Notamacropus eugenii: one gene and its partners. The protein of the gene in region 1 purifies or fractionates together with the protein of each later gene. This does not show direct contact. Links are inferred from orthologs where the notes say so. Each region holds a gene or a part of one and is shown in the gene's direction. Other genes may lie near its edges. The genes, in order: KAT2B, TAF6L, MYOD1 and GLI1.

Region 1 (7,168 bases):
CCCTATATTCCGAGAGCCCGACATCACATATAATAAATGCTTTTTGAATTGAATTTGGAAAAACAAACAGTTTTTTATCCCATTCAGTGTTAATGTTGCCAGTTTCCATATTGAGGCTATCTGTATGTGATTCAATGATTGAAAGAAAGAAAGAAGAAAGAAGTAGAGGCCATTGTACCAGGTATGCAAATGATATTGCATTCTCCTAGGATCCAGATATCCAGGGCTAAGGTTCTTTTCATATGGAAACAGCCTTTATTGGGAGGGGATTTAATTATTGTGTGGTACTTCCAGTGTGAAAACTCCCTCTACCTCAGAGAAGTGATAAATGATCAATAATTTATAGTCAAAGATAATGACTGGAGGAGAGAGGGAGGCCTGAGAATTTGTGCAACTCTGCCTCACTTAAATCGAATTTACGCATGAATTGAAAGACATCGCCATACCATGCTGGAGCATTGACAAGTTGGTGACTTGTTCATGACCACACAGCTAATATCTGTCACAGGAAGAATTTGAACTTGTCTTTCTGACTCAAAGGCTAATTCTCTGCTGTGCTGTGGCAGGGGTACTTATCTATTGCTCTCTGGGTATATTCATATTATCTATACTTCATGTCAAAGAATAATTTTTGAACTGGATTCACTTGGAATTCTGACCGCTGTTTCCTAAATGTGTGAACTTGGGGGAGGCTCAACTTCTCAAAGCATCAATAGTCTTCATATGTAACAAAAAGGTTGGACCAGAGAATTTTGTAAGATTTCCCCAGCTCTTTTTGCTATGGTCCCATTATAAAGATGGAGAAATGCTTCTCTCCCTGGGTTGGCATTTGTTTGGCAGCTCTGGCCCATCAGAAGCTGATCCTCTCCTACCTAAGGGCTCACACCTCATTCCTACTCATGTTCTCTTTCTTTCAGCAACACTGATAAATAGGAAACATCAGTTTCTTACAATCAGAGATAAGAAGCAGGTCTGGAGCTCAAATCGTGCCTCTGAATTTTCCTATTTTTGTGACCTTGGGCAAATCACTTAACCTCTCAGTTTTCTCATCTATAAACTGGAGGGTTGGATGGAATGACCTTTAAGGGTCCCCAGCTCTAGCTCTGTGCTCCTATGTTGTTGTTTAGTTATTTCTGATTCTTCGTGACCCTGTGGACCACACTGTCCTTGGGCTTTTCTTGGCAGGGATATTGGAGTGGTTTCTTATTTTCTTTTCTAGTTGATTAAGGTAAACAGAGGTCAAATGACTTGCCCAGGGTCACATAGCTAGTTATCGCCCGAGGCTGGATTTGAATTCACGTGTTTCTAACTCCAGGCCCAGCGCTCTATCAATTGAGCACCTATCAGCCTCCACGTGTTCCTTATATAAGAAGATACAAATTCTTTTGCTTGGAATGAAAAGCCTTTTGTAAGCCGTTTCTAGCCTATCTTTCTGCACTGATTTCCCATCACTTGCCCTCAAAAACTCTATAGTCCCATCCTATTTTCTCACACAGAATATTCTATCTCCTGCTTTTGAACAGGCTATTCCCAAAACCCGGAATGCACTGCCTCTTCACCTCTGCCAGTAGGAATTAATACCACTCCCAGCCTAGCTCAAGTGCTAGGCCTCCCACTCAGATAAAGCTTGAGGTCTTTTCTGATCCCAGACCAGGCTACTTTGTCCTCTTCCCATTGTAAGCTCTTTGGAAAGCCCCAAATAGCCTCCATATTTATGATCAACACCTTAGCACAATGCATAAGTAGCGCGTGCTTAAAACATGTTTATTGAATCAAATGGGGAAAAAACCTGGGCTTTGAAGTCACTGGACCTGGCCTCAGCTCTGACTACAACTCATTACCTGTGACCTTGGGCAAGTGTCTTAGCATTTCTGGGCCTTAGTATCAGCATCCAGAAAATGGGGATGGGGCAGGGTTGGACAATGACAACTTCCAGCTCTCAACCAATGCCCTCAATATAGAGGCTAGAGGCTTTTATCACCTGGCAACTCCCTAAATGCTACTTATGGACTGATGATGATGAGGGAGAGAAGCTGCACCCTGTATCTTCAGCCCCTAATACGTTTCCTACATGCCTTGGATTGCAGGCATTTGCCCTCCGATCACGTGTCATTCTGAGGCTGCGAGATATGTCAAAATGAAAATCCATTTTCAGCTGTCAGAAATCATTCACCATCCAAACATAATGACTTTCAGGGTGGATTGAAATGGGCTTGTTGAGCTTTAGCTACTCTCTATCTTGGAAGCAGGCTGCCTCTCAAACTTTCTCTGTGGCTTCTAGCCTCAAACATGCATACTGACTTTGGTCAGGTGTAGGGTGAGTCAATACTGTAGTGATTTTGGAGTGGTCTGGCCATATCCCTGATAGGAGGAAGTCTTACTCCATGTGTGAGCTGAAGAATTTCATATGGCCAGTGCAGAGAATGACAAGAACACGCCAATAGCCTTCAGTACCGCAGTAAGTTGGTTAACATTGAAAAGTAAAGTGTTGTACATCAGCCAGGAAATAGAACCTTGAACTTTTCATAACATCTTATATTATGCATTCTAATTGGCAGCAATTTTATACTACCTTTTAAAAGTTGGGGTGGAAGGTATTTCCTTTTCTATTAAAACAATCTTTTTTTTTTTAAAGCTCTTTAAAAAAGAACAATAAGAGTTAGGGATGGAAAAGGATAGTAAGCTGAAATGGGAAAGTTGGTGGTCTTTCCAGAGTTAAGACTCACTAGTCTCCTCATCTATAAAATGGAAACAATAATAGCACCCACCTCCCAGGGTTGTTGAGAGGATATGATGGAAATACTTGCAAAGCGCACTACAAACCTTAAATCACCACATTAATACTAGCTATAATTCTCAAGGAATGCAAAGAATCTGCTAAAATATTCATATAAATTCCCTGTCCTACACTATGTGCTTGTAAAAGATCCAGAGAAATAATGAGTAGTTTTAAAAGTAAATTGGAAAGGCAAGTCGGAAAGAAACCGGCTCACCTGCAAAGTCAATAAAATGTCCCAGTTCCATCTAATTAATGAAGGGCCATTAAAACTCGTTTCAAAAACTGTCTCCATCCCAAATGAATCGTGAGCCCTTGAAGATCAGACAGCGAGGGTTTAGCGAAAAGGTCACCGGATAAAAACGGACACAGAGAAGTTGTAGTCGTGGCTCTGCGCCTGACTTTGCTGTGTGTCCTTGGGCGGGTGGTTTGCCCTCTCTGGGCTCTTTAGTCGGGAGGGTCGCCCACGTCCCTCCTGACGGACAGGCTCTGAAAGGTTATTTTTTAATCTACGTTCCACTAAGTCTTTAGCTCTGCGTTCTATGTGGCGCTGTCAAGGCCACTTCAGACAGGCACTGGGACAAAAAGACCAACTTTTTTCGTGTAAAGTGCACTTTTCCTTCTGTTGGCACAGTTTAGGAACAGCCGAGGAAGTTTTCGTAGCCTTCCTACAAGAAGCGCGGGGCGGGCAAGCTGGCGCCCGGAGGAGCCACCCGGCTGTGCGGTGCCCCCGACCCGGCGCAAGATGCCCGGCCCGCTCGGGGTGCGTGTGTGCGGGGAGAGGCGCCGCCGGGCACCCAGCTCGGCCCGCGGGGCGAAGCCTCCGGCAGGTGCCCGGGGATGCCAGCTCCGGCTCCTGCCTCGCCCCGCCACCCTTCCGCTCCCCGCCCAGCCCCGCCCCCATCGCGGGCGCTCGGGGACCCAGGGAGACCCGGGTCGTCTCCGCGGGGAGCGGAAGAGGAGCCGCGGCCGGAGCCTCGGGCTGACCCCCGCGCGCACGCTCCGGGGCCCGGGGCCGAGCATGTCCCCGGCAGCGGCGGCGGCTGCGGGGCGCTGGCGCGGAGCCCAGTAGGGCCCCGGGGAGGAGACCCCGGGGAAGGCGGCCGCGGGGCCGCTAGCGCCCTCCCTCCCGGGGCAGCGGCGGCGGCGGCGGCGGCCGGGCCCGGAGCCAAAGGGGAGCGCAGCGGAGCCGCGCAGCGCAGGGCGCGGGGGAGGAGGGAGGGCGGGAGGGAGAGGGGGAGGGGAACTCCGAGGGGGAGGGAGCGGAGCGGGAGGCCAGGCCCCGAGGGGGAGGGTCCCTCTCGCCCTCCCCGAGCCCACAGGCGCCCAGGGAGACCCTGGCGGCGGCGGCGGCCACCAGCACTCTCCGCCTCCTGCTCCTGCCGGGCTCCGCGGCGGTGGCATGTCCGAGGCCGGCGGGGCCGCGCCGGCCGGGGGCGGGGGCGGCGGGGCCGGGGGGCAGCAGCCGCCGCCGCCCCCTCCCCCCCAGCCGCCGCCGCCGGCGCCCCTGCCCCCTCCGCCGCCGCCCCCGCAGGGCTCCCCGGCCGCCGCCGCTCCCGCCGCGGCCGCCCCCGGCCCCGGCCCCGGCCCCGCCGCCTCCTCCGGGCCGGCCGCCGCCGAGAGCCCGGGGGCGGGCAGCGGCGCCTCCACGGCCCGGATCGCGGTGAAGAAGGCGCAGCTCCGCTCCGCTCCCCGGGCCAAGAAACTGGAGAAACTCGGCGTGTACTCCGCCTGCAAGGTAGCGTCCGCGTCCGCCCCGGGCGGGAGCTGCCCTGCCCCGCCCTGCCCCCCCCCCGGGCGATGGCGGGGCCCGCACCCGGGCCCTCCCCTCCCCCCGCTGCCCCGCGGCAGGACCGCTCCGGGTGGGTCGGAGCCGAGCCCTGCGTGGTGCGTGCGTGTGTGTGGTGTGTGCGGTGTGTGCGGTGTGTGTGTGTGTGTGTGTGTGTGTGTGTGTGTGTGTGTGTGTGTGTGTGCGCGCGTGCACGGCGCGGGGGGGGGGGGCAGAAGCCGAAGCCCGCGGCGATGTTTGCTGGGGGGGGGGGGGGGAATGACGACTGGCCGCCCCAGGGGTGGGCGGTGTAGACAGTGGCCCGGCCGAGCGGCCGCGCCGTGCGCTCCTGCCCTGCTCCTCCGGGCGGGGAGCCGCTGCCAGCCTGGGGGGCTCGGGGGCTGGGTAGCGGGATGCCAGCGCACCTTAGCTTTGCATTAGGGTGGGTTTGCTTTGTAGACCCTTGGGCGTGTTGATAAGCTTGGCTTGGCTGGAACAAGTCGCTTCCCTCCTCCTGTGTTTGCCCCCTTTCTCGAGGGCGCCACACCACGCCCCTGTGGATGGTCCGGGACCTGCCCTGCCCCCTCCATCCAGATGTGGCCCGGGGTAGGGATCGTAGTCCCAGAGCTGCTGGAGGCCCGTGGCCCTTGGCACCGTCGTCTTTGTTTTGACAGGGTGACAGCTGAAGGAGGCGGGCCTGTGGCTGCAGGTGGGGGTGGGGGGAGGGTGTTCTGGTTAATCACTCCCATGCCTGGTACTTGGGAGCCAGAGGCCAGTTTCCTAGAATGGCCCGGGCTGGTGGTGGGATGGTAGGGCTGGGTCCTCCCAAGAACACAGTTGTTAATCTTAATGATAACCCAGGCATATTTTAAGTATTCACAGAACAACCTTAATTTGAGAGGCTAGCCGTCTCTCTTCCCCAACTGCATGGTAAACATAGTCAAGAGTTGGGATTCTGGGAGTTTAAAGTCCTCCGATGTCCGAGTTCAGCTGTCTTGGACCAATCTTCTCTCCCCAGTTTACCCTGCCCTCCTGCCAAACTGTGCTGGGCATCACTCTCTGTCTTCTCTTTCCAGTTCGTTATTTCAGTCTCCTGTTTTGAAGACTTTGATCACTTCTCCTCACGCTGAAAGTCAGTCTGAAACTTTAAATTCCACTGTGTGTGCCAGGTTTTGAAAGACCTGGGTTCAGGTCTTGAATTTGCTAGTTATTATTAATCAACAAGCAATTGCCTACTTTGTGCAGCTTCACTGGATAGTCATGGAATCTCCGTGGCCCTTATTAACAAATATGAAAAATATGCGAGTTGGACTAGATGATCTAAGGCCCTTACCCCACTAAAAACTCAGGAATTTAAGAACCTGGGATCTGTAGCTGCAAAAATAATAATAATAATAATAATAATAATAATAATAATAATAATAATAATAATAATCCACCTTGATTAGGGGGCTTCCAGAGCAGAGCTGCTTCCTCTCTGGCTCTTTTTCTGCCTAGGACTTTTTTCAGGGAAGAAAACTAGTGTAGTGGGCAGTCAAGATAGGTTGAAAACCATTGGAGGGATTGAGAGCTGTGTGAATACATCATTCAATTCAGATTGTACTTAAGAGAGTTTTAGGTACAATCTTAACTGAAATGGAATCTTAATCCAGTTGAAGCTTGAATCTTAGTTCAAACTGTTAGGAGCACCCACTTACTGTGTTCCAGGGACTGTTTTGGTGCTAGCAATAAAAAGCAAACACAAACAACTCAGCAGTTCGTAAAGCCTGTCTTCCAGAAGCCTCCAGTCTCAAACATTGCCAGTGAGGATAGAAATGCCAGCCATGTCAAGTTAGACTGTAAGGGAGATGCACAAAAGAACCAAGAGAATTTATAAGGGCTTCTCTCATTCTTATAATTCAGCATTCTCACGAATGCCCTTGATTTGTCCAGCATATAGAAAAGGGTCATTTATTGTACTTCTTAAAAAGATTCTAATTCTCCTCTAAGTGCCACTGCTTACAAAGGACAGAAGGGACAGCTTAGAACCCATTAAAATACCAGCCCCTTAGGCAGTCTGGAAAGAAAAGCAATCAAGAATGGGGAATTGGAGGAGCAGGGGAGGAGACCCATCAAAGACTCCTGAAAGAGAGATACTTTTATTTTCCTCTTTAGGCTCAAATGAAGGCAAAACAAGGCACTGATTTTAGCCTGTAGTCTGCTTTTTCCTCCCCTCAGAAGAAGGGTAGCCTACCATATCTCTCCTAGAAAAAAGAAACTAACCTGCTTTGCAGGGTACCGGTAGAATTCTTTTGAATGGTGTCTTGGCAAAGATCTCCAGACCTTCACCCTAGTTCTTCTCCAGCTTTGTGAATTGGTCAACTCTCTACCCCAAGCTACTAGTAGAAGAGATCTAGGTCAGTGATAGTGTACCAAATTTGGGACAACTTGAGAAGTGATACCTTAGAGGGAAGTAGTTGGGAAATTTTGACTTAAATTTTTTGAGAGTGAACCAGGCAAAACACATTTAAAGTTTGGTGCCTCTAGTTTTTAGAATAGTCATTTCTGGATATACTCAAATCCCACCCCTAACTTTTTCCCCTTTCCTTAAAAAAAAAAATAACATCTATAAGGAACTCCAATGG
Region 2 (7,920 bases), on another chromosome or scaffold:
TTCCTTGCTGGCTGCTGTGTGTCCCTGTGGAAGGGCCCTGCCAGGTGTCTTCCATCTGTCCCAAAGCAGCACTCATACCAGCACCAGGATGTGGAGGAGGTGCCTGGCAAAGGGCAACCCTCCCATCTGCTTTGCCTGTCTTTTGAGGGAACAGGAGTGGATGACAAACATGCTTGCACCTGGTCACACCTCTCATGTCCCAGCGATTCTGAACATATCATCTTCCAAAGCCCAAACTACCTCCCCCCACCTTATCCTCCTTCTTCCCCTTGACCTCTGTCCAGCCATCCATGATGCTTCCCTTCATCTTAATCCTTCCCTCTCCCAGTTCTTCATGCGAGCTGGCTTCCACAGCCTTCCTGGCCACCTTTCCAAGACCAGCTGCTCCTCCACTCATCTGCAGCTCACTGGTCAAGATCTTCCTTAAACTTGTTGAAGTCATTCTTTGTCTGTTCCCTGTGCATCATCCACATCATACGAATTCATGTGGATCTTCCCAAGCTTCTCACCTCTTCATCACTTCTCAGGTGTGATGGCATCATTTGTAGGCCATATTTTGTTTACCCACACCCAATGAATGGGCATCTCTCAGCTTCCAATTCCTTGCCACCACAGAAAGAGCTGCTATAAATATATTTGTATCCGTGGGTCCTTTTCTTCTTTCTTAGATCTCTTTGGGGCTATTGACCTCAATAGAGCCTTAATGTCTTTCAAGGGGCCTTAAGGGAATTCAGTAAGAACAACAAGAAATCTTGGAACTGGAATGGATTTGTTCTAAGGGTCTAAAGAGGGGAAAGAAAAGGGAGTGTCAAAGGAGGGATTCACTCAGAGAAAAAAGAAAGGATATATTGCTATAATTGGGGGAAGTGAAACCAAGAATCAACAGGGATAGAGTGAGTAGGCATCAGGGATACTGGTAAGAGTTTGGTACAGACACCAAGATCCTCTGAGAAACAAGTGGGAGGCATCAGAGAGGAGATGGGATACTGGGAAAAGAAGAGTCACAGGCAAAAAAATGTCCTGATCCTGGAGATGGGACTGAAAAGGGAAGAAAAACTAACTGGCCCTCAAGGGGATTCCTTAGATCATCTCTGAGACAACAAGGGGTTGTCTGGACCAACTGAAACATGAATGGAATGGAATCTATTGGGCTAAAAGAAATGACAGAAAATTCTGGATTTTTGGAACTGCCAGAACAATGTATACAATGACAACCACACTAAAGAAAACCACCTGAACCCCGAAGACTTTGCTCAGTGCAATGTTACGTCTCCGGAGGCCTTGTGATAAATAGGATACCCTCTCCTGACGAAGAGGGGAGGGACACAGACATAGAATGAAGCATATGTTAAGGGAGGATATTTGACTTGGCGGTTCTTTGTTTAAAAAGGGTTTGTTTTTCTTCCTCTTTCTCTTGGCTCTTAACTAGGTGGTATAATGGGGGGAAGGGTACCCAACTATGGAGATGCTAAAAGGAGAGGAGCATTGTAACTTTTTTAAAAAATTCACAACAGAAAACTCAAGGATGTTCAGAAGGGAACACAAGTCAACAGGTCGTTTTCAAAATGAATGTGTAGAACTGATGATATGCTTCTTCCATAGCCAGCATTATGAAATAGATTCACAGGTTCACACTGAAGCCTCTTTTTGTATTCTGCTGTATGTATGAAAATGTACTTTATTGGGGTTCAAATTCAAAGTCAAATTTTTAAAAAGGATACTTGCTAACATGGTTCTTTGAGTGGTGTGAGGAGAGGAACAGTGGAAAATGTAGGTGATATAAAAAACAAAAGATATAATGATATATATTGTAATATTCAAACATCTTTCAAACTGAGGTCCCCGACCCCCAAACCTTTCCAGTCTTCTTATACCTTATAGTATTCTTTGATCCAGTGACACCAACCTCCTTCCATGCCCAAAAGCTACCTTTTTTTCCTTTGGGTTTACTGGCTACATTTCTTGCTCAAAGATCAAACCTTAAACCCAATTCACTCTGGAACTCACAGGCTGGACAAGTCCCCAAACCCACCTAGCACAGGGTGAATGTAATTACTGTTTCTCTTTTATGCAGGAACCCTGAGGGTCCTTCCCTCCCAGTTTGATTTTTTTTTTTTATTAAAGAGGCCATCTCTTTAGTAACTACTTAAAGAAACCTATTCATTGAATGGGTGTATCTACTCAAAGTGAGAACGTGGTAAGACCTTAGCCTGAAAGGGCCAAGGTCTCACATTGCATCCTGGTCCATCTCCAATCAGGCCACTGGACCTAAATGGCTCAAGAGAAGAAAGTCAGGTTGGTGACCTTGCACAGTCCTCCCTCACTTAAATCAAAGCCAACTGCAAGTCATATCATCAACTTGATGTCATGGTCCTCTTTGAGAACGGAAAGCAAACACAACAACAACCAACCTCCTAGTTATTCCTCATCCAGAAACTCCATTTTCAATCCCTCTGAATTCTAGTCTTCCATCTGTTGGATATTTCCTATTTAACCTATATAAAGCTTGTTTGTCAATATTGTTTATATGTTGTCTCCTCCATTAGATTTTAAACTCTCTGAGGACAGGGACTGTCTTTGCCTTTCTTTGTATCTCCAGCACTTAAGACTTCATTTTAATTTACAAATCTGAGACTCTACTGTGTCCTTTCCACAACACCACCTTCTACCTATGAACCCTTTCCTTTATCCTTTATCCTGGTAATACTCATTTCTTCCTAAACTTAGCCCGTGGCTTACCTACCATTCCTCAGGTTGCCTTGTGCCACTTGTAAGCTACTAAACACTGCTGAGGGACTCAGGTAACTAGGGCCTCCACTGGACAGATTTTTAATTCTTTTCTATTGGACTCTTATCACACTCTCTACAGTAACTGGTCCAAACATTCTCTTCTCAAATCAACAAAAATACAGCCTTCTGTCCCCTCCCTCTCAAGGCAAGCTTCTTTGCCTCTTGCTTGCCTGAGAAACTAGAAAGTGACTGCAAAGACCTTTTTCCTATTCCACACCGAAAAGGCCTTCTATGTTTTCCCTCACTCTTGTGATAGTGTCTAAGGACACCACCCCTTCCCATCATCTCCAGGCCCTGGTCTCTCAGATCCTTCTTCATATTTCATCTCTCCTTATGTATTGCCTCCTTCCCTGCAGCCTACAGCCATGCCTACATCCTTAAGATGCCTTCACAGGTCGAGGCCATTCCCCAAGGTATCGTCCAATTTGTCTTTTTTCATTCACAGCTAAATTTCTAGAAAAAATCCTCAGCCTCTTGCAGTCAGGATTCATGCTCCACGATTCCACTGAAAATGCTCTTCAAAGGCTACCAGAGAGACTTTCCAGAAATACATAAAATTTTATACCAGCAAAACAGAACCTTCTAGGGAGGTTGAAGAGTCTCTGAAAATGTAAAAAACAGAAACCAACAACAAAAGAAAAAAAGGTGTAAAATGATACACTCTCAGAGAGAAACTAAGTCATAATGAACTGCCAAAGGAAAAAAATTATTAGTTCGGATAGGATTTACAAGTAGTTCATACCTATGCCACAGACGTTGTTCTAAAAAATGAAAAAAAAAAAGCCCTTATCAAAGTCCTTCTTTGAGGCAATACGACAGATACCCCTTTTAGGAAGAGGAGAGAACTGTAAGGGGGGGAGGGATATAAGGATGGGATGTGTAGATATCCTCACTGGCAGTTCCTCCTGCCCTCCTTATAGTACAGTTCGTTTTCATTTAATGAAGACCCATGCAAGATTTTAAATAAATATTAAGGGTAGGAACTGAGGCTGGACTCCATTTCAATCTGGATGTCCAGTACACACCTTAAACTCAACATGTCCAAAATCAAACTCATCATCTTTTCCCCTAAACACTCCTCCTCCCCTCCATTACTGTAGAGAGCAATACTCCCCTCCCAGTTCCTCAAGGCTCACAACTTAGGGGTCATCCTGGACTCTCTCTTCCCAACCTAGACACCCCTGTAGCCCAACTGAAGCCAAGGCCTGTCAATTTCACCTTTGCAACATCTCTTGTAGATTTCACCTCTGAAGAATCTTTCTTATAGGCCCCCTCCTCTCCTCTGACCCTGCCCCACCCTATCACAGATCCTCATCCCTTCACACCTAGGCTACTCCAATAGTCACTTGGGGGGAGATGCCCCCTTTCTCAAGTCTGTCCCCCCTCCAGCCTATCCTCCATTCAGCCACCAATGGGATCTCCCTAACGGGTAGCTCTGACCACATCACCCCCTCTTCAATAAACTCCAGCGCCTCCCTACGGCCTCCAGCATGAAATACAAAATGCTGCTTGGCCTTCAAAACCCCTCCGGCCGAGCCCCCTCCTCCTTTTCCGGTCTGCTTTCTCTCTGCAGCAAGAGACGCTCCCCCTCTGTGCTCCGCCCCTCCCCCCAGGCCTGGACCACTCTCCTCCCTCTGCTCTGACCTCCCAGGCTTCCTTAAGTCCCAACTAAAATCCCTCCTCCTCCAGGAAGCCTTCTGTGTAGATCCCTACACCTTCGTTTGCACGCTGTCCGTCCCTGCGACCGCCCCCCCCCCCCCCCGCACCCCGGGACGTGAGCTCTTTGAGGGCACCCTGCCAGACACACAGCAGTAACAATCACCGAATTGCACTGAACTAGAAAGGCGAGGTCCCGGGGCGGGGAAAGGGCTGCAGGAGGGTAAAAACAGCCTTCTAAAAAGTGAGCACATGGGCGGGCTGAATTTAGGGTGGATCTGGATTAACCCTAGCGAGGCCAACGGCGGCCGGGAGGATTTGGCCCCTCCGGGAAGAAAGTCCGGAAGAAAACCGCAGAGGGCCCTTTAAGGGGCTGGCGTCACGTGACACTTCCCGGCAACATGGCTCTTTCCCTGTGAACATGTCCTGAGGCGGGGCTTGGGAGCGCCGCCCGCGGATTGGCCGGGAGCGGGGGAGGGCGGGGCCGGCCTCAGTGCGAGGGAATTGAGACTAGGCGAGGGAGCCGGAGCCGGAGCCGCCGCTGCCGCTCTGGGGTAAGTCTCGCCGGGGCCGCGCCGCGCTCAGCGCGGGGCCTCCGAACTTGGTCGGGCCGGGGTCTCACCACCTCCCTCACCTCCGCTGGGGACCACAGGCCTTGGGAGTATTGACCTCGTCTGGCTCCGCCTCCTGACCCTGGGGTCAGAGGTTTCGGCTCGGCCGCCGGCGCCTTTCGTGGGCTCAGCTTGAGAATTGGGCGGGACCTCCGAGGTCATCATCTCCACGCCTCTTATTTTACAGATGGGGAAACTGAGGCCCAGGCAGTTGAAAGGACTTACCCGTGGCCGCCAGGGGGCGTCACGATGCACAGAGCGCTCGGCCGGGAGTCAGGAAGAACTGAGTTCGAGCCTCAGACCCTGGCAGCCAGGCCATCCTGGCCGATCGCTTCATCCGTCCCTGCCTCAGTTTCCTCGCTTGTGAAATGGGGATCATTGGGGGAGGCTCCAAGGAGCTGCCGTCTGGGGTCCACGGGTGGATTCGAACCCAGGCCCTCCCTCCAGTGGCCTAGGCACGGCTGACTTGCAGCCTGCCTGAGAATGAATGGGGTGTCCCAGTGGACCCCAAGCTGACCCGGAGTTTGGCCAGGAGGATTGTGGGGGGCGGGGTCCCAGCCTTGGCTCCGATCCCACTCGGGACCAAGAGAGACTGTACAGAAAAGATCAGACCAGGCGTGGGCAAGGGTGCAGAAACCATTTCTACTTAGTTAATTGTTCCTAGGTGCTCAGCCTCTCATGGGTGTGGGTAGCTGGGCATCATCCCCTGGCCTAGGGAACATCCTAGAGGGTCATTGTGGGGGTCAGGACCCTTCCAGCCTTCCTCCCCCCTCCCCATATGAGCCCGCCCAAAGGGAAGGGGCTGCTCGTGGCCTGCGTGGGGGGCGGTGGTGTCCCAGGAACTGCTTGTCCAGGGAAGATTTGTCCCCACTTCTTTTCCTGGGAAGATTGTCACTAATGCCCCAGTGCAGCCTTTCCACCAGTGCAGGCCTACACCTCCTTGGGAGCCTGAGAAATTAAGCTACTTGCCCTGACTCACCTGGGCAGCCAGGCGTGTTAAGCGCCTCCCCTGCACCAGGGACTGTGATAAGCACTGGGGATATAGAAAGAGGCTGGAGACAGGCCCTGCCCTCAAGGCAGAGGAAGCCAGGGAGGTCAGTGGGCACCCAAGTGGCGCAGTGGATAGGGTCTGCAGTCAGGAATTCCTGCCTCAGATACGTACTAACTGTATGACCCTGGATAAGTCACTTCACCCTGTTTACCTCAGTTTCCTCACCTGTAAAATGAGCTGGAGAAGAATGTGGCAAACAAAGACCCCAAAGGGTCAGACATGATTAGCCCACAAAAGGAAGTCAGTGGTCAGAACAGATGAGGAGAAGCCTTGGAGCCATGGGGGCAGTGAGAGAAAAGGAGCTGAGAGATGGAGTGGAGGCTGGGCTCCCCAGATCATGGAGAATGTGGAGGAAATCAGGTATATAAGTCCAGAAGGGCAGGAGGGGGCAGGTTAGGAAGGGCTTTGAAGGCCAAATTGAGCATTTGTATTTGATCCTGGAGGCCATAGGGCGCTATCATGGTTTACTGAGTAGGGCGTAACATGGTCAGACCTGGGTCTTAGGAAAATCCCTTTGGTGGCTGAATGGAAGATGGGCTGGAGTGGGGAGAGGCTTGAGGCAGGCAGACCCTCCCCACCACACTCTGCTCCCACCCCAGCTGCTATTGCAGTGCCACTGTGAGGTGATGAGGTTCTACACCAGGGTGGGGGCAGTCAGGGGAGAGAAGGGAGTAGATTTGAGAGATGTTGGAAAGATGACATGTTGAGCATGGTGGGTGAGAGAGAGTGGGGTCCAAGATGACCTCTGAGTTGTGGGAGGGAGGCTTGCAGGGAAGATAAGATGTCTACTGGACATCCAGGTTGAGACACTGGAAGATTGCATCGTGGCCTGGAGGAGGATTCAGCAAAGGAGACAAAGAAGGGACAATCGGAAGGGGAGGAGGAGACTGGGGGTGGGGGTGGGGTTTCAGAACACCCAGAGAGAAGACATGTCTAGGAGGAGGGTCGTCCATGGCCACAGTGAAGTCAAGAAGAATGAGGGCTGAGAAAAGGTCATTGGCAATGAGATCACCCCTTGGAGAGAGCAGCTTTGGTGGAGGAAAGGTGACAGACTGTGGAAAGGAAGGGAAACTGAGGCATGGGTGGTTGCCACTTCTGCCGGCAGCCTCTGAAGCCAGGTGCTCCTGGCCCCCAGGGCTGGCTCTCTGACCACTCTGACCTACCTACTATATCCTGGAATAATGGTCAGGTCAGGGCCTGGACCTTTGAACCCTTGATGAACCAGAGCTGTCTCCTTTGCATTTTTAGAGAGTACTCTAAGTGTCCGCTGCCAGGATTTGTCAGAGGTGGGCTCAGAGCCGAGGCTCCCTGACTCTTTTCTCCAAGAAGATGTCCTCATGGTAATCAACATTTAGGCATCTCAAGATTTGCAAATGCTATGTGTTGGAGGTGTCTGACAAGACTCCCAGAGTGCTACCTGAACCAGATTGAAATGTTATTTTACACAATCAGTACAAATCTAAGACTGCAGCATTACCCAGTTAAGACACTCTGCTCCATTGGCGGTTGGCCTCCATGCTTGATGGGCTGCTGGTCATCTATGCGGACTTAGAGGAGTTTCTCCAGACCTTGTGATCCCCAGCTGAGGGTCAGAGAGGTCACGTACTTACCAGACGGATAGACTGCCTGACTTCCCCATGCAGGACAAGGAAGGAAATGACTGAAACAGGATTCACATCCAGGCCTCTCAGACTCCTAAATCAGGGTTTCTTCCCTTGTGCTGCTCTGCTTTCTGTATTAAGCCAGCATCATTCAGTCAACTAAAAGTATTGAATTCCTAGGGTACTGTCCTCTCTAAGGGTTAAAATAAGG
Region 3 (6,937 bases), on another chromosome or scaffold:
TGGAGTTCTTGACCTGTGATCAACTATCAGTCAAAGAGATAGGACTTGCCCCCCCAAAAATCAGCCCATGCATTGTGAGGGAGAGTTAAGTAGAGGGAGGCTACCCTCATGTCCATGTCTCCCAAATTCTGTATATTATGAAATACCTCTAGGAGTCTAGTGTTTTCATCAAAGCGACTTCTTCGGTCAACTCTCACCATTTCTCCCCACTTTTTATGAGAGGAGATTGCTTTCCACAGAGACCTAGGGGTTACTGTGAGCAGGAGTGGCTCTGGAGACTTGGGTGCCCAAGAAGGCAGTTTGGCTGGCTTCTCTGGCTGGAGAGCCCCACTACCATCTTGGTAATGTTGTGGAAACATAGGAAGGCATTGAGCAATAAGGCTGGCGAGTATTCTTGAATGTTTCCTGAAGTCCATGTATGGGAGAGTTTCAGCTCTATCTTGTCATGTGGACAAGCATTTCTGGGTCTGCAGCAGCAGAACTGGGGGAAACCAAGAGAGCATTTGGAGGTATAGCTTTGACAGAAGTATAACTGACATCAATGCATTTTTAAGACAAAGTCAATTTAGCATGTGGGGAGGAGGAAACTCTGGAACACCTCAAGACTGATGGAGGGGACACCATTGGGGGAAAAGGAAGGGAGTGTTGGTAAGAGAGTTCACCTGGATGAGGCAACCAGGAAAAGAAATCACGCCACCTATTAGCTTCTGTCATAACTAATTATCCTTTATAACTAAGTGCCAAACTCAGTTGTTACTATCTTCTGAAAGAGTAAAAGAGCTGGAAGTGCCTTAAAAATTTTAGCATCCTAAGGCACAGCCCTGTCTGCCCCAACCTGGTTAGAACTCTGCGTCTCCCACCTTAGCTCTGTCTTAGGGTCTTTTCCTTCTCTCTTCAGGGCTCCCTGGTTTTCATTGCAGAGGCAGTCCTAGGGTTAAGCCTAGGTGAGTGTAATCAGGGTTTTCCAGACATAATGTTAATACTTCCAGGACTCCTAATTTCAGTAGTCTAGAGAATCTCCCAACCTATATAAATAGAAGTTCTTCTACACCTTTGTTAGTTTCTGTGGCTGCAAAATAATTCCTCCCCTGGTGGCCAACTTTCTGGTGATGAGTCTTTCCAAACTTACCTAGGCTGGTCTCTATATAGCAGACACAGTTTGTCATTAGACCTTTACTTGAACCCTTTCCCATTCTGTAGGACTTGCTGGAGTTTGTTCTCCAGAGACACAGTCTTAGAGAAGCCAGGCCTCAGTGGAACTTCAGAGGACTTTGGTGGAGGTTTCAGACATTGCAGAGAGGGAAGAAGAGAGTGACTTCCTCTTTGTATCTTTCCCAGACCCAGGACAACAAGCAGTAAAAACAAGAAGGACATTAGGAAATTCCCCTACTTTACTTCTGGGGATCTGAGGTCCCCACATTAAGCAAGGCAGAGTGGGGGGCATCAGAGGAGATGAGAAGAGGTTACAGAGACTGGGATTACAGGTAGCAAGAGGGAACACTAGACAAAAGGTTGGACTTGGTGTCAGGCAAATCTGAATTCAAATCTTGCCTTACACATTAGTTCTGTGACTCTGAGCAAGTCAAGTTCTCTCAGCCTTGGTTTTCTCATATGTAAAATGGGGATAATAATGGCACATTATTATCTTAGCACTGAAATGAATCCATTTACCAACCTCTTAACTTCACAGATGAGGAAATAGAAACCCAGAAGGAGATTGGCTTGCCTAAAACCACTGGCAGTTTTGAGTTGGCTCTTTAGAATCAAGTTAGAATAGGTTCTAACCCTAACCCTAAATGTGCTCCTATTCTAAAAGTTTGAGGCTGGCAGAGGAAGATCCCAATTTTCCTCCTTTCCCCCAAATGTTGTGCCTTCCTCCACTGAGTCTCTTTTGTCATTTATTTTGGGGATGGAGTGCTGGGTTCAGGAACAAACCAATGACTTTGGTCTGACAATAATCTGGGAAATTACTAGGGAAAACAATGCAGTTTCCCACCTTTCCCAGCTTCAGAGGATATAGAGGAAATATTAGAGATCATCTAGTCCAGGGATTCTTAGCTTTAAAAAAATCATGGACCCCTCTGGCATTCTTGGACCCCTTTTGGAAATAATGTTTTTAAATACATTAAACAGAATTCATAGGATTAAAAAGGAAACCAATTTAATACCAATATATTTTAAAATATTGGGATATTTTATAACAAGTTATAGAACCTTTGATTCTAATTTAATTCTTTTATATTACAAAAAAACAAACTGAGGCCCAGAGAGGAGTCAACTTGTCCAAATCCATATACCTGTATGTAACAAGGCTGTCATTTGAACTTACATTTCTTGATTCCAAGTTTAGCACTGCCCCCAGCACTCCCTACCTTAATGAGGTAGAGGCCTCCGAGATGGGTACAGAGACTGAGGATCCAGTCTTTCTTAATAGAGACATAAGGACACTCCTAGGCCATCTGCCTACATCTTTGGACTTGAGGTATGCCAATCTTTCCCAGGTCCCACCAACTACAAGAGGTAAGGATAGGGGCTTGACTCACCTGCTGCTTTGAGGTCTGACCTTTGTATTCCCATCGATTAACACAGTGCCTGGCACAGAAGAGGGACTTGTCTGCCCTTTGCCCACTGTCCCCTTATTTCAGAGAACCAGGGTCTGAGGGCCAGAAGTAAATGAGAGTGAAGTCCTCTCTCAGGCTCCATTGCCACCTTTTCCTGCCTCCCTAGGGCAACGGTCTCTTTGCTCCTCTGTAACGGGGGTAACGTAAAAGGTGTAACTTCATCAGGAGATCAGTCCTATCTCCCCCTACATGCAGGCGACCTCCAGGGAAGCTGCAGAAATATTCTCCAAGCAACTCTCCCCTGCCCACCCACGTCCCTTTTCTATCCCCGCCCCTGCCTCAGATTTACAGCTGCAAAGAACTTTTTCCTTCTTGTTCCAGAAACTGTTTTATCGTTAGTGTAATAAGGACGTTCTGGTGAGGAAACTGCTCGCTACCAGTAAAGATAGACAGATTGATCGGCAGCTCAGGCAGGTGACAGGGACCGAAAAGGTTAGCAAATGTGCTTAGGGGACACGGGGCAGAGAAGGGATGTGAACCCAGCAAAGCTACGCCCAGCTGCCGCTCTAAAAAGGCACCGTAGGGACCTTTATTACTACACACCCTCCGCACCGATTTTACAAATGGGTCACCTGAGGCCCAGAGAAGAAGGGACATGCCCAAAGGTCCCAGCTAATAAGCAAAACTGAAACCCACGTCTCCCATGCCGACCCTTGGAGACCCGAGGGAATCAGAACCCCCTGGGGGAGGTGGTACCAGGACCCACAGCAACTGAAAAAAGTTAAAGGCATGGCCCAGCGCAGCGCGCTGGGGGTTGGGGAGGAGGGGGTACTCAGCGCAGGGAGCTGAGGCTGGGACGCCGAGCCAAACTGGGCTGACTCTTGGGCAGTGTGTGGTAGAGTGTGTGGTAGGGGAGGGAGAGACGGAGGGGAGGGGAAGTCTTTCAGCCTAGGCTCCGGGACACTCCTCTCTCCTCCCCTTTGGGTCTCTTCTTTCCCAAATCCTCGGACCCATCGGTCTCCGCCCCCCATCCCAGACCGCTTTCATTGGCTCAGGGAGTCCCCCGCTACCCCCCTTCCAGGGCTGCCCCCTCCCAGAGCCCAGCTCTGGGTCCTGGGCTCTGAATAAATAGCCTCGAGCGCCAGCGGCTGGAGCAAGGGGTAGGGGGAGCCCCACATGTGCATCGGAGGGAGCCAGCTCTTTCCCGATAGTGTGGAAGGGAGGTAGGGCAGGGTGGGGTGGGTGGGGGGCTATTTCGCAGCTTCTTTTCAGGGCACGTCCTTAGGCTAGGGTGCGGATCCCTTTCCCTCTGGTTTCGACTGAAAGAAGCTTCGCAGGGTCTCGAAACTTTAGGGGGCTGTGGTTCTAATTGCCGTCGGGCTGGAAAACGGGGTAGGAAGACACAAAGCAGTTCACAGAAGGCAGCTTTCCCCGAATCCCTTGCAGGACCATGGAGTTGCTGCCCCCGCCCCTGCGGGATATGGATTTAGCAGGGCCGGACAGCTCCCTCTGCTCCTTTACCACGGCTGACGACTTTTACGATGACCCCTGCTTTGACTCCCCCGACCTGCGCTTCTTCGAGGACCTGGACCCACGCCTGGTGCACGTGGGCGCGCTCCTAAAGCCTGACGAGCACTCCCACCATCCCGCAGCGGTCCCGGGCTCCCGGGAGGATGAGCACGTGCGGGCTCCCAGCGGTCACCACCAGGCTGGCCGCTGCCTTCTGTGGGCTTGTAAGGCGTGCAAACGCAAGACGACCAATGCTGACCGGCGCAAGGCGGCCACGATGCGGGAGCGGCGCCGTCTGAGCAAGGTGAATGAAGCCTTTGAGACCCTGAAGCGGTGCACGTCGAGTAATCCCAACCAGCGACTGCCCAAGGTGGAGATCCTGCGGAACGCCATCCGGTACATAGAGGGCCTTCAGGCACTGCTTAGAGACCAGGACGGGGCAGCCCCTGGCAGCACCGCTGCCTTCTACCCTCAGGGGGCCACTGCCCAAGCCCGCGTGGTTGAGCATTACAGCGGAGATTCGGATGCATCCAGCCCTCGTTCCAACTGCTCCGACGGCATGGTGAGCTGGTGGGGCCAGAACAAGTATGGCCAGTGGGCAGGGCTGGAGGGAGAGGAAGGGGACAGTAGAATGATGGGAAGGATTGTGGAACGAAAATTACAGCATTAGGTCTAAAAGGAGGCGGATAAACTCCCATCCCCAGCTATGAATTGGTACCCAGGTGTCTGGGGCAATCTTTCTGTGGTTGCCACAGGAGAGGAACCATTGGATGGGGATGGGCTGGCCGGGTAGGGGAGAAAACTTGCCTTTATGGACAAAAGAAACTTTTTGGTTGAAAAGTTGTTAGAAATTATGTAGTTCAGCTATCTTATTTAAGAAATAAGAATTTGCCCAAATCACACAGAAATTTTGTGTTGGAGCTGGGGGTGGGATATTTCTAGACTACGCCAGTTGACAGAGGCAGGGAGGAAGGAGTCTGGCTTACAGAGAGAATGGAGCTAGGTTCAGATCCTTATTCTATTGCTTAACTTAGCTGTGTGACCTTGGACAAGTCACTTATCACTTTCCTCATCTGTGTAATGAAGGGGTAGGGCTAGGTGGTCTCCAACGTGCCTGCTAGGCATACATCAATGCTCCTATGAATTACCTGAGCTCTCATCTCTAGGAAACACACAAGACCCTCTGCAGCAGGAAATTTGGGGCAGTTCCTGGGGTCTTAGGAAGGAAGGAAAGAGGGGATATCTGTTTCTTTGAAGCCTTGGGGTGAACTGGATGTGATGAGGGCAGGGGCTGGGAGGAGGAGCAGGACCTGACTCAGGATCTACTCTCTTGTCTCCAGATGGATTATAATGGCCCCCTTTGCAGCACCAGGCATAGAGGTGGCTATGACAGCAGCTACTACAGTGATTCTCCAAGTGGTGGGTATCAAGGGCATTCTGCCCCAGCCCAAGCCCCTGAGTCTCTACACACAATATATGAAATTCACTGTCCATCCAGGTGTACCTATGTCTGAACTCCTGCCAACAGAGAGGGGAGGACCATAATTCAGTGTACTTTTGGTGGGATTAACCCACCCTTTTATTGGGTTCTGGTTCAATTTCCTCATTTTAGAGAGGAAAAAAACCACAAAGTCTAGGGAGTTTAAGGAACTGATCCAATAGCAAGTCACTGGGAATGCCTGAGCCTCTGCCATCTTGGTAGCATGGTACAGAGAAGCAGTGGTTTGTATATAGGAAAAAGATATCTGAGCTCCCCAGGATCCCATCCTTGGACTTCAGAATTTATCACTCATCCCTAATTTCTGTCATTTTTTTTTAGACACCAAGACTGGGAAAGGACTGGTTGTGTCCAGCCTGGACTGCCTCTCCAGCATTGTACAGCGCATCTCCACTGAGGGTTCTACATGCCCTGTGCTGCCTTTGGGAGAGGGCACACCCTGCTCCCCCCAGGAGGCCACCACTCTGAGTGACAGTGGTGCCCACATTCCCTCCCCTGTCCCCAGTGGGAGTACCCAGCTTTCTGCTGACAGCACCTCTGGGCCTAGTCCTGTACCCAATCCTAACCCTATCTACCAGGTCCTCTGAGGTGGGACCAAACCTCCTTCTCCCCCGCTTCCTGTGGCTCCAGCGGGGGTCAGACTAGACTTTGGGAGGGGGCCCATCTTATTCAAGTCTAAGGCTTCTGAGGATTCCTTGGAATGTGCTTCTGTCTCTTCCTCCCTTCCCTAAAACATTAATTTATTGGTTTCCGAGTGCCTGGCCGGGGCTTAGGGGGACAGGTTCCTGGTCCCAGGTCCCTGGTCCCCTTCCCCACCCCCCTCAGGAAGGAACGGCTGTGCTTGTTCTTGAGGGGCTGCGCCCCCTCCACACTTCTTCCATGCTCCCCAGTTCAGGACCACATTTTGTAATACTTTTGTAATCTATTCTGTAAATAAGGGCTTGCTTTGCGAACACATGCATACACACACACACACACACACACACACACAACCCAGCGACATATTTATCAGGTGTGGTTTGTGGTGCAGTCATTGACTATTTATACACTAGGGCGGTGTTGTCTCTGCTCAGGTGTGCTGAATAAAGATGATAATTTATACCTGCCGGCTCTGCCTTTTAATGATAGCTAACATAAAACGCTCTAAGGTTTTCTGAGCATTACTTCATGCCAGGTCTGTGAGGTAGGTACTATATTGTACCTACATTTTACAGATGAAAAGATTGAGCTCTCTAAGTGAAGTGACTTGCCCATGTTCACACAGTCAAGGAAGGAGAAAAACAGAATTTGAACAGACTTAAGTCCTGACTCCAAGTTCAGCTCTCTATCTACTTCCCCAACCTTCAACAAGAGGAAGGGAATTCAGCCA
Region 4 (7,922 bases), about 200 Mb from region 1:
TTAAGTTGTTGGGGGGGGTCATAGTAGAGTGAGGGGAGATGGGCAGATGCTTATTCCTCTCCTACTAAGCCCATGCTGTCTAAAACTAGGAGGAAAATGATTGGCAGAGCTGGGCTCGGACCCCAGTTATTGCACTCCAAAGTTCCAGCCTCCCTTTCTCATACCCCAACCTAAAAACTGAGAGGTGTTAGCAAAGAGAGGCTGCTTTAGTACACTAACAAATCCAGGCTCTTCCCATCACCTTAAAAGAGGTTAGATCAAGTTGCAGTGCCCAGTTCAAGGCTGGGCACCAGGCCCTCCGAAGTGCCATGCCCTTCTGGCAGTCGTGATGGACTCTGCCCGAACTCCACAATTGCATCACCCTCCCCTGCCCCTACCTCTGGGTTTCCCCATTCATCCCACTAACACACCTCACCACCAGTTCTCTCCCTCCCCCACAATGTATTCACATCCAATTGGACTCTGAGCAGCCAGCACACATAGGGGACAAGGGGTGACTTCTAGGTACCCCGTGGCACCTGCCACCTAGGCCTGGCCTTGAGAGCTCTGTTGTTGCTGAACTTCCAGCCTTCAGGTTCAATGTTTGGGAGATGGAATCCTGGATTCCCTTTTTGGACAGGCCCCTCAAAGTAGGAGACACTGAAGTCTCAATAGTCTACTCTCTGTTAAGTTAAACTGCTGTAGAGGAAACTGGGAAAGCTCAAAGTGGAAGACATTGGAGACGACTGTATATAGGGGCCTTCGCTCCTTTACCTGGCTCACATGGCTCACATCACCCTCCCCCTTCCTCTCCCCTGGACCCTGGGATCGGAGTCTGTGAAATCATCCTCTTTCTTGCATCATTCCTGTCCACGTCTCCCCCCACCCCACCCCCACATACCCCTTCCCCAAGCCTGTCACCGCAGCCAGATTGGTGAAACATGAGCTCTGGAAAGGGTGGGGGATCCTCCACTCCCCCCCCACTAGGGACCTGATTGACAGAAGAACTGGCCAATCCTGGTGCTCAGAAGGTGGGTCTGCCCATTGACCACTAGGTGGGAGAGCCCCAGGCTACCAGCTCAAAAGAGGCCCTGGGTCAGTAAGCTGAGTGGATCGACCAGGCAGACAACTCTGAATACCCCACTTTTCATCAGTCAGATTTTTGTTTTGGGGTTTTTTTTTGTTTGTTTCCAGGGTACAAGAATAGGAGACATCTGACTCTCCTTTCTGCAGGGGGTAGGTTTCCCTAGGATAGACACAGGGAGAATGGGGTACCCAGATGCCTGGCTCCTACTGGTACTGCTATGGGCACTAGCAGGGGCTCAGAGATCAGGACCTCGGTGCCCATCATGTGGGTTACCCACACTAAAACCACAGGAAGAGAGGGCTCTAGTTCTGGAGCTGGCCAAGCAACAGATCTTAGAGGGGCTACAACTGACCAGCCGTCCAAGCATACCCCATCCTCCCCACCCTGCAGTCCTGGCCAGAGCCTTAAGGAGACTACAGTCTAAGAAGATGGCTCAGATGAACCAGCTGGAGACCATCAGTTTTGCAGCAGAAACAGGTGGGTGAAAGAGAGGAAAAGCAAATCAGGGAAAGACCCAAAGAGAGACAGAGACAAGAAGAATACAGCCAAAAGAGGGATGTGGTGGGAGAGGTGGGGTTGGAAGCTGATGTTCTGAGGACTTTATCTCTTAAGTTAGTATAGAAAAAAAGGAATCTGTCAGGATTTGACAAGAACTTCCACCCAAAGACCTAGGCCTCTCACATTATTCATGAACCACCACTATTTTTCCATAGGCTCTTCCTCCACTCCAGCCTGTGGATCTATCCTCAACTTCAACCTCTCCACTCCTTTGCACCTACGTCCATACCACATCCGTCTTTGGCTGCATCTGCATTCCACCCTAGCTGGTACCCCCTCCATACAAATCTTCCAGTGGGGTTTGGAGAAAGGGGTCCAGGGAAGTCAAACCCTGCTGGCTGAGCATGGAAAGACCACTCCAGGATGGAATGCCCTTACCCTGCCTTCTTGGGCACTGGAGGGCACTGGCTCTGGTGTTCTGAAATTCAAGCTGGTCTGCAGGCCTCATGTAGGCAATACCACAGCTGCCAGACACTTACTTCTGGATACAGCTGGACACCATCAACCCTTCCTGGTGATTAGGACCCAAGCCAGAGCACCTGGGGGGGACCGGGCCAAGAGGAGGGCCCCCACATGTGAACCTGGGAGCCTTCTATGCTGCAAGCGGGACCACTATGTAGACTTCCAGGAATTGGGCTGGAAAGATTGGATCTTGAAGCCTGAGGGGTACCAGCTAAATTATTGTAGTGGACAGTGCCCGCCTCACCTGGCTGGCAGCCCAGGCATTACTGCTTCTTTCCATTCTGCTGTCTTCAACCTTCTCAAAGCAAATAGTCCCTGGCCATCTGGCCCTTCTTGCTGTGTTCCCACAGCCCGTCGGCCACTCTCCCTCCTCTATCTTGACCAAAGTGGTAATGTAGTGAAGACCGATGTACCTGATATGGTAGTGGAAGCCTGTGGCTGCAGCTAGCAAGGAGGTTCAAAGGATTCAGAGCTAGAGAGAGTGTGAATAGTGTTGGTCCACTGAAGAAAGGGGTCAGCAGGTCAATGGCTGAGGCGGTTGAATTCCTGACATCCCCTCCCCAGGTGACCTGGCAGTGCGGCCCCATGGGCAAATCCTGATGAGTCCAACCTGGGACTTTAGAGTCCAGTTTCAGACTGGTTGGAGAATGGGGAGATGGGTAGGGCATTCCTCTGCTTGGTTCTTATTAGAAGAGGATTCCTACTCTGAACACTCCATAGAAGAGATGGTTAAGGGGTGGGGAGGGAGGGGTCAGAAAAGTTGCTCAGTGCCTTCTAAGAGAGATAGAACTTCCTGGCAAATCGATGAGAGGGTGGGGTAAATAGGGCATGGGAGAGTGTGGTATGGTGGAGGTACATGCTAGAAAAGGGGTTGGTGCTTTGTGGGAACTGCTAAGAGGGAGATGGGCCCAGGGAGAATATGGGATGAACTTAGATAGGAGCTTGGAGAAGCTGATGAGCCCCATAAAGGAACACCCTCTAGTTTTGCCAGAGGTGAGGTCCTGCTGGGGAGATGAACACATATTTATATTTTCCTAATAAAAATGAAAAGAAAAAAGTCACAGGTGTGTGTCTTGATACAGGGTTTAGGGGAAAACTCGAGGACTGGGATGTGGAGGGGGAGTGTGTTCTAATGGTAAAATGCTCCACAGGGCAAGGACATGTGGATGTGTCTGGAAAAGAACCACGTGCGGGTTTCTTTGTACCAAGTGACTATCAGTTGGACCAGGCTGATCTATGTCCCTGACCCTCTGGAAGTGGCTGGACATTTGGTCGATGCCAAGTGGGGGAGGGAGGTGGAAGATCTTACCCCTGGCTCCTCATCTCCTCTTGTTCCCTAGTAATTTAACATCTCATGTTAACATAACTCATGTTAACAACTCAGTGTTAACACAACATGCCCCCAACTTCTCACTAGCTCTACCTTTGTTCTTATGTTATTCCCCCAAACAAACCGTTGATCCACTGACCCTTCCTCTCCACTCCCCCAGAAGTACTTTGGAGGATGTTCCAAAATACAAGGAAGGGAGGAGAATGGTGACTTGAGGAGGATAAGAGAACTGGGCAAAATAATTAGAAAGGGGCATTCTCCAGTTTCCTGGTCATGACCTTGTTTCCCTCCCCTTAAAACCCCCCCTCACAAATCACTCTTCTCCCCTCCCCCATTACACATCAGAGACTGAAATAGCTGACCTTTCCCCTGCATCCTGTCACCATGGCATCAGGACATTGAGGGACAGGGGACAAGGGCAGTCTTCCTTCCAATACACAGAACCCTTTACTTATTTCTGACTGCTTTTCCCGAGTCCATGTATCCATTTATGTCCCCATCTCTCACTTTTTCTTGGTATACTCATACACCTTTGGCTCCCACAATACTGGCGTTGGGGAGTACAGAGAACTTCTTTCACTGTCCCTCCCTCCCAAGGTCCCCACTACCACCATAATCGTACCATCTCTGCCTTTAGACAGGTTCAATCTAAGAGAAGGTGATGTTCATCAGGGGGGCCAGCAGAGGGAGCAAGGAGCAGCGAAGAATGGGGAGGGGAAAGGTACAACCGCAGGATGGCTGACATCTCCAAAACCTATGGACACAGGAGAAGCAGGGCGGGAGGGTTGAAGAACAGCCGTGCTAGGGTTAAATATACCCAAACCGGGCCTTCCCAGCCCCGACCACGGACCCCCAAAGCTTCCAGCTTCCCTCTGTCTCTCTCGTTTACTGCTGCCTTTCAGTCTCCCATCCCCACGGTCCCACAGCCTCTGTCTGCTTTTCCTCTTCCATGGTTTTTAACACACTCAAGTCCTTGTCTTGCATTTTTGCTACCCCAGTCCTCGGGGTCCTTTACCCCATCCAGCTCCTGCATGGCCAGGTGAGGGTGGTAGTCACACCAGGGCAGAGAACTGAGATCTAGTTTTGCTTAAGAGCCCCTCCTCCCCACATTCCCACAAGTTTTCTCCAATTGGGACTGTATAGTCTTTCTTCCTCTAACTCTCAACTTGGTTTTTCTGTCTCCGGCCCATCTCTGTCACTGACAGACGATCCCGGAGATCCAGGCCGGGATTTTCCGCTAGCCCAGGACAGCGTGCTCAGTCCCAGAGCCTTAGTTGAGGGTTAGGAGATAGGGTACCTCTTAAAGAGGGGAGGATTCCAGGAGTCCAGGGGTGCAAGTTTGACATCCCCCTCTTTCCTTCCTGTAGCCCCCAAGCCTACTTCACCACAACTGCACGAGGGAGGGTAATGAGAAGGGAGGGGAGGAGTGAGTGGGACAGCGCGCCAACAGCGCTAGAAGGAAAAAAAGTTTTTGCAAAAAAGAAAAAAAGTTTGCGAGTCTTGCGGGTGGTCCAGGCTCCCGGCCCGGCAGGCGGGGCGGGGGGGCCGGGTTGGGGGGGCGGGGGCGGCACTGAGGCTGCGCCGCTGTGGCCCTGCCCGTCCCCCCTCCACCCCCCCAGCTCCCCACTGCACACCCCCCAGCCCCGACTCCAGCCCTGGACTGCGCATCCCGCGTCCCGAGCCCCGATGGAGGTGAGAAGGCCGCCAGGTCAGGGACCACCTGGGAGCCATGAGGGAGGGGATTAAGGAGAGGGGCACTGGTTTAAGAGGGATTCCCCGACACTCTCACCTCAAACCACCCACGCCGTGATAGAAATCTCGGGAACAGGGCAAAGTGTGGGGGGAGCTGTCTGGTGTGGAGAGATGAGAAAGTTTGTGGCTCTTCTGTCTTCCTCCGCTTCTGTCCCTTTCTGTTTCAGTCATCACTCTGTCTCTTTGTCTCTTGTCCGCATATATTAGAAATAATTCATATCATTCATTTGATAGGGATGGAGGGATCTTAGGTGGAAGGAATAGAGGTGGAAAGGAGTCTCAGGTGTCTCGGTACCCTGAATCCGACTGAATCTGAGGGCAGTGTCTTGGTTCCTCGTAACCCCAGAACTGCAGGGGTTGGGGATATGTGAAAAGAGGAAGAGTTTGTCTGAGTTTGTACCCCAGTCTGTTTATGAGACATGAATTTTTCTGTTTGGTTTGGGGTGGAGGTAATGTCTCCTGGATTGGGCAGCTAGAACAGTGGGGTTGTCCCTTTAGCTCCTAATGTCTGGTTTAGGCCCCAGACCTCTGGTGACCTTGATCCCTCGTTATTCCCAAAGGAACTCCTGGGTTTCAAAGTGTGGAGGTGGGGAGGGGTCGGGGAAGGGGAGAGAGGATCTCCGGGGAAACTCTCCCTCTACCCTCTGACCTCAGGACCACCAGGGCGCTGAAGATAAACCGGGGAGACCCCTGTGGGGCTGGACTTGGACCTATTCCTCATCCTTTCCGTCCAGTTCCCCGCCCAAAGAGGGCCTGGGGAATATAAAGCCCCCTCCTTCTACCCAGACCACCCTGCCTGCCCTGCAGCCTCTTTCAGGTCCCATGACCCCGAAACAATCTTTCAGCACGCAGCTGGCTCCTTGGTCCGGATTAGGGAAGGGGGGACAGAGGGCCCCGTAGGGGGCTGGAAGGAAGCGAAACTAGGGTTTTGGGGGGCGGATGGACTGGGGTCTCTACAGTGGAATGTGGAGCATAGGCCCCAGGGTCAGTACTCTTTAGCTGAAGAACGGGCCCAGGGGCAATTTTCCTGTGTGGGTGGGGAGAGGCGGCGGGTGGTTTTCTCCAAGAGGTGGGACTCGGCGCCCCCCACCAACGCTACCTTACGGTCCGGCATCCCCGCCAGGATGCCAAGCCCCGCCCCTTACGTCACTTGGGGGTTCCCGGGGGGGGAGGGCTTAACCCTTAGGACACCAACCCGGGATACCGAGGAGCTTGGGATTCCCTGCTCCCCCATATTTGATCCCACTCCTACAGTTATTCCTCCCATCTTCCTTTTCCTAGAATTTTAGGAGTTTCCTGTTCCCTCTCCTTTCTGAGTGAGGTCCCCATATCACCCCTTCCAGCTGACGAGATTTTCCACTTGCCACCGGACCCCCGGCTTCTATATTTAGACACCCCCACTGCAACCAGGGGCTCGCTGCCTGGTTTCTGGCGGAGGAGCTGCGAGGAGGGTGGAATGCGCCCCGCCCCTCAACGCCCTCCCTTTCCTCCTCCCCAACCCCCTCCCAGCCTGCTTGGCTGGGATCTCGGGGGGGGGGGGGGGGGGCAGGAGGGAGCGGAGCCGTCTGCAGCCAGAGTCGGGCGGCCTCAACTTGGGTGGGCCGAGGAGGGACTGAAGCTCTGGGAAGGCGGGTCCGGAGGAGGGGGCGGTGCTTACTCCCAAGGGTTGAGGGAAGGGGGTGGGAAATTAGGGACATCAAGGGAGTGGGGATCCGAAGCTCAGGAACCAATAAGTGCCCCGACCCTTCTTCGTCCAGGCAAACTTTGCTGAAGTTAAAAAAGTTGGGGAACTCTTCCCTACACCCATGTGAAGAGGGATACCCCAAGGGTGAAGGGAGAGGTACTCTCCATCTCCACATGGCTTCCAGTCCCAGGCAGAGGGCACCGAAAGAGGAATGACAACAGAATGGACGGGATACAGTTTTGGCAGGGAGGGCTGCTGTCTACAGTCTGGAGGGATGGGGTGCCGGGGGAGGGAGGAGCTGTGAAACTGCTTCCTTCAACCGGGTGAGTCACAGGGGGAGGAGTCAGGAAAAGAGCCCCCTACCCCACCCCATCCAGCTGCCAGCCAGCTGTGCCCACCACCCACTTCGACTGAATGCCAGGGTCAAGTGGGGGGTCTTGTAAGCAGAATTGGGGCTGGCAAGGGAGGGGTCATGGTCCGTAATGGATGGAGGGGGTCCAGGGCTGAGTTATGGGGTTCTTGCTCCCCGCCTCATCTTCCCCCTCCCTCAGCCTAAATCCTAACATCCCAGGATCACCCACCGCGACGCCTCTAGCTCCCCTTCCCACCCTACCACACCCCACCCTCATTCCCCGGGAGTCTGAGAAACGTGGAGTGGATTTCAAAGTGAACCGAAGCTGTGAGTGGAGCAGGCGAGGAAAATGGGTTCTCAATATATCTCTCTGTCTCTTGTCTCTTTCTCCCTCTCCCCGTCTCTGTCTCTCTCTTTCTCCCTCTCTTTTGCTCCCTCCCTCGCCTCTGTCTCTCCTTCTCCTTGTCCTTCTCTTTTATCTCTTTATCTCTCTTATCCCTTCTCCTCTCTTCTCTCAAACCCACAAGATGAAGGTTTGGAGGATGGGGGTGTAAAAGGCATCTTCTCCATTTCTCCCAGGCAGGCAGCACACTACCTAAGCAAAAACGCCTGTGGCTCCTCCCCTTTTTCCTTCACCGCTGCCTCCCGGCTGTGTCTGACTCCCCTGGGACTGTCTTCTCTGTCCCACTCCCTCCCACCACCCCAGAGGCGGTAGGGA

What was found.
Region 2: the proteins of KAT2B (region 1) and TAF6L purify together in Homo sapiens (affinity purification with mass spectrometry; 5 studies listed by BioGRID and IntAct, counting the BioPlex papers as one, with this or other methods). This does not show direct contact. The link is inferred for Notamacropus eugenii from reciprocal best matches to the Homo sapiens genes KAT2B and TAF6L.
Region 3: the proteins of KAT2B (region 1) and MYOD1 purify together in Homo sapiens (affinity purification with western blotting; 4 studies listed by BioGRID and IntAct, with this or other methods). This does not show direct contact. The link is inferred for Notamacropus eugenii from reciprocal best matches to the Homo sapiens genes KAT2B and MYOD1.
Region 4: the proteins of KAT2B (region 1) and GLI1 purify together in Homo sapiens (affinity purification with western blotting; 3 studies listed by BioGRID). This does not show direct contact. The link is inferred for Notamacropus eugenii from reciprocal best matches to the Homo sapiens genes KAT2B and GLI1.

What each region holds. Positions count from the first base shown.
Region 1 is NC_092874.1:34,104,285-34,111,452, reverse strand, and holds the start of KAT2B (histone acetyltransferase KAT2B), read left to right. Parts: upstream 1-4,163; 5' UTR 4,164-4,178; coding exon 4,179-4,514; intron 4,515-7,168. UniProt on the Homo sapiens protein: Functions as a histone acetyltransferase (HAT) to promote transcriptional activation. Has significant histone acetyltransferase activity with core histones (H3 and H4), and also with nucleosome core particles.
Region 2 is NC_092873.1:15,843,231-15,851,150, forward strand, and holds the start of TAF6L (TAF6-like RNA polymerase II p300/CBP-associated factor-associated factor 65 kDa subunit 6L), read left to right. Parts: upstream 1-4,916; 5' UTR 4,917-5,000; intron 5,001-7,920. UniProt on the Homo sapiens protein: Functions as a component of the PCAF complex. The PCAF complex is capable of efficiently acetylating histones in a nucleosomal context. The PCAF complex could be considered as the human version of the yeast SAGA complex.
Region 3 is NC_092877.1:41,184,751-41,191,687, forward strand, and holds MYOD1 (myoblast determination protein 1), read left to right. Parts: upstream 1-3,921; 5' UTR 3,922-4,011; coding exon 4,012-4,632; intron 4,633-5,410; coding exon 5,411-5,489; intron 5,490-5,889; coding exon 5,890-6,155; 3' UTR 6,156-6,669; downstream 6,670-6,937. UniProt on the Homo sapiens protein: Acts as a transcriptional activator that promotes transcription of muscle-specific target genes and plays a role in muscle differentiation. Together with MYF5 and MYOG, co-occupies muscle-specific gene promoter core region during myogenesis.
Region 4 is NC_092874.1:232,839,147-232,847,068, forward strand, and holds the start of GLI1 (zinc finger protein GLI1), read left to right. Parts: upstream 1-4,908; 5' UTR 4,909-5,124; intron 5,125-6,860; exon of another isoform or gene 6,861-7,175; intron 7,176-7,922. Other genes in the region: INHBE (inhibin beta E chain), read left to right, coding at 1,246-1,543, 1,780-2,534. UniProt on the Homo sapiens protein: Acts as a transcriptional activator. Binds to the DNA consensus sequence 5'-GACCACCCA-3'. Regulates the transcription of specific genes during normal development.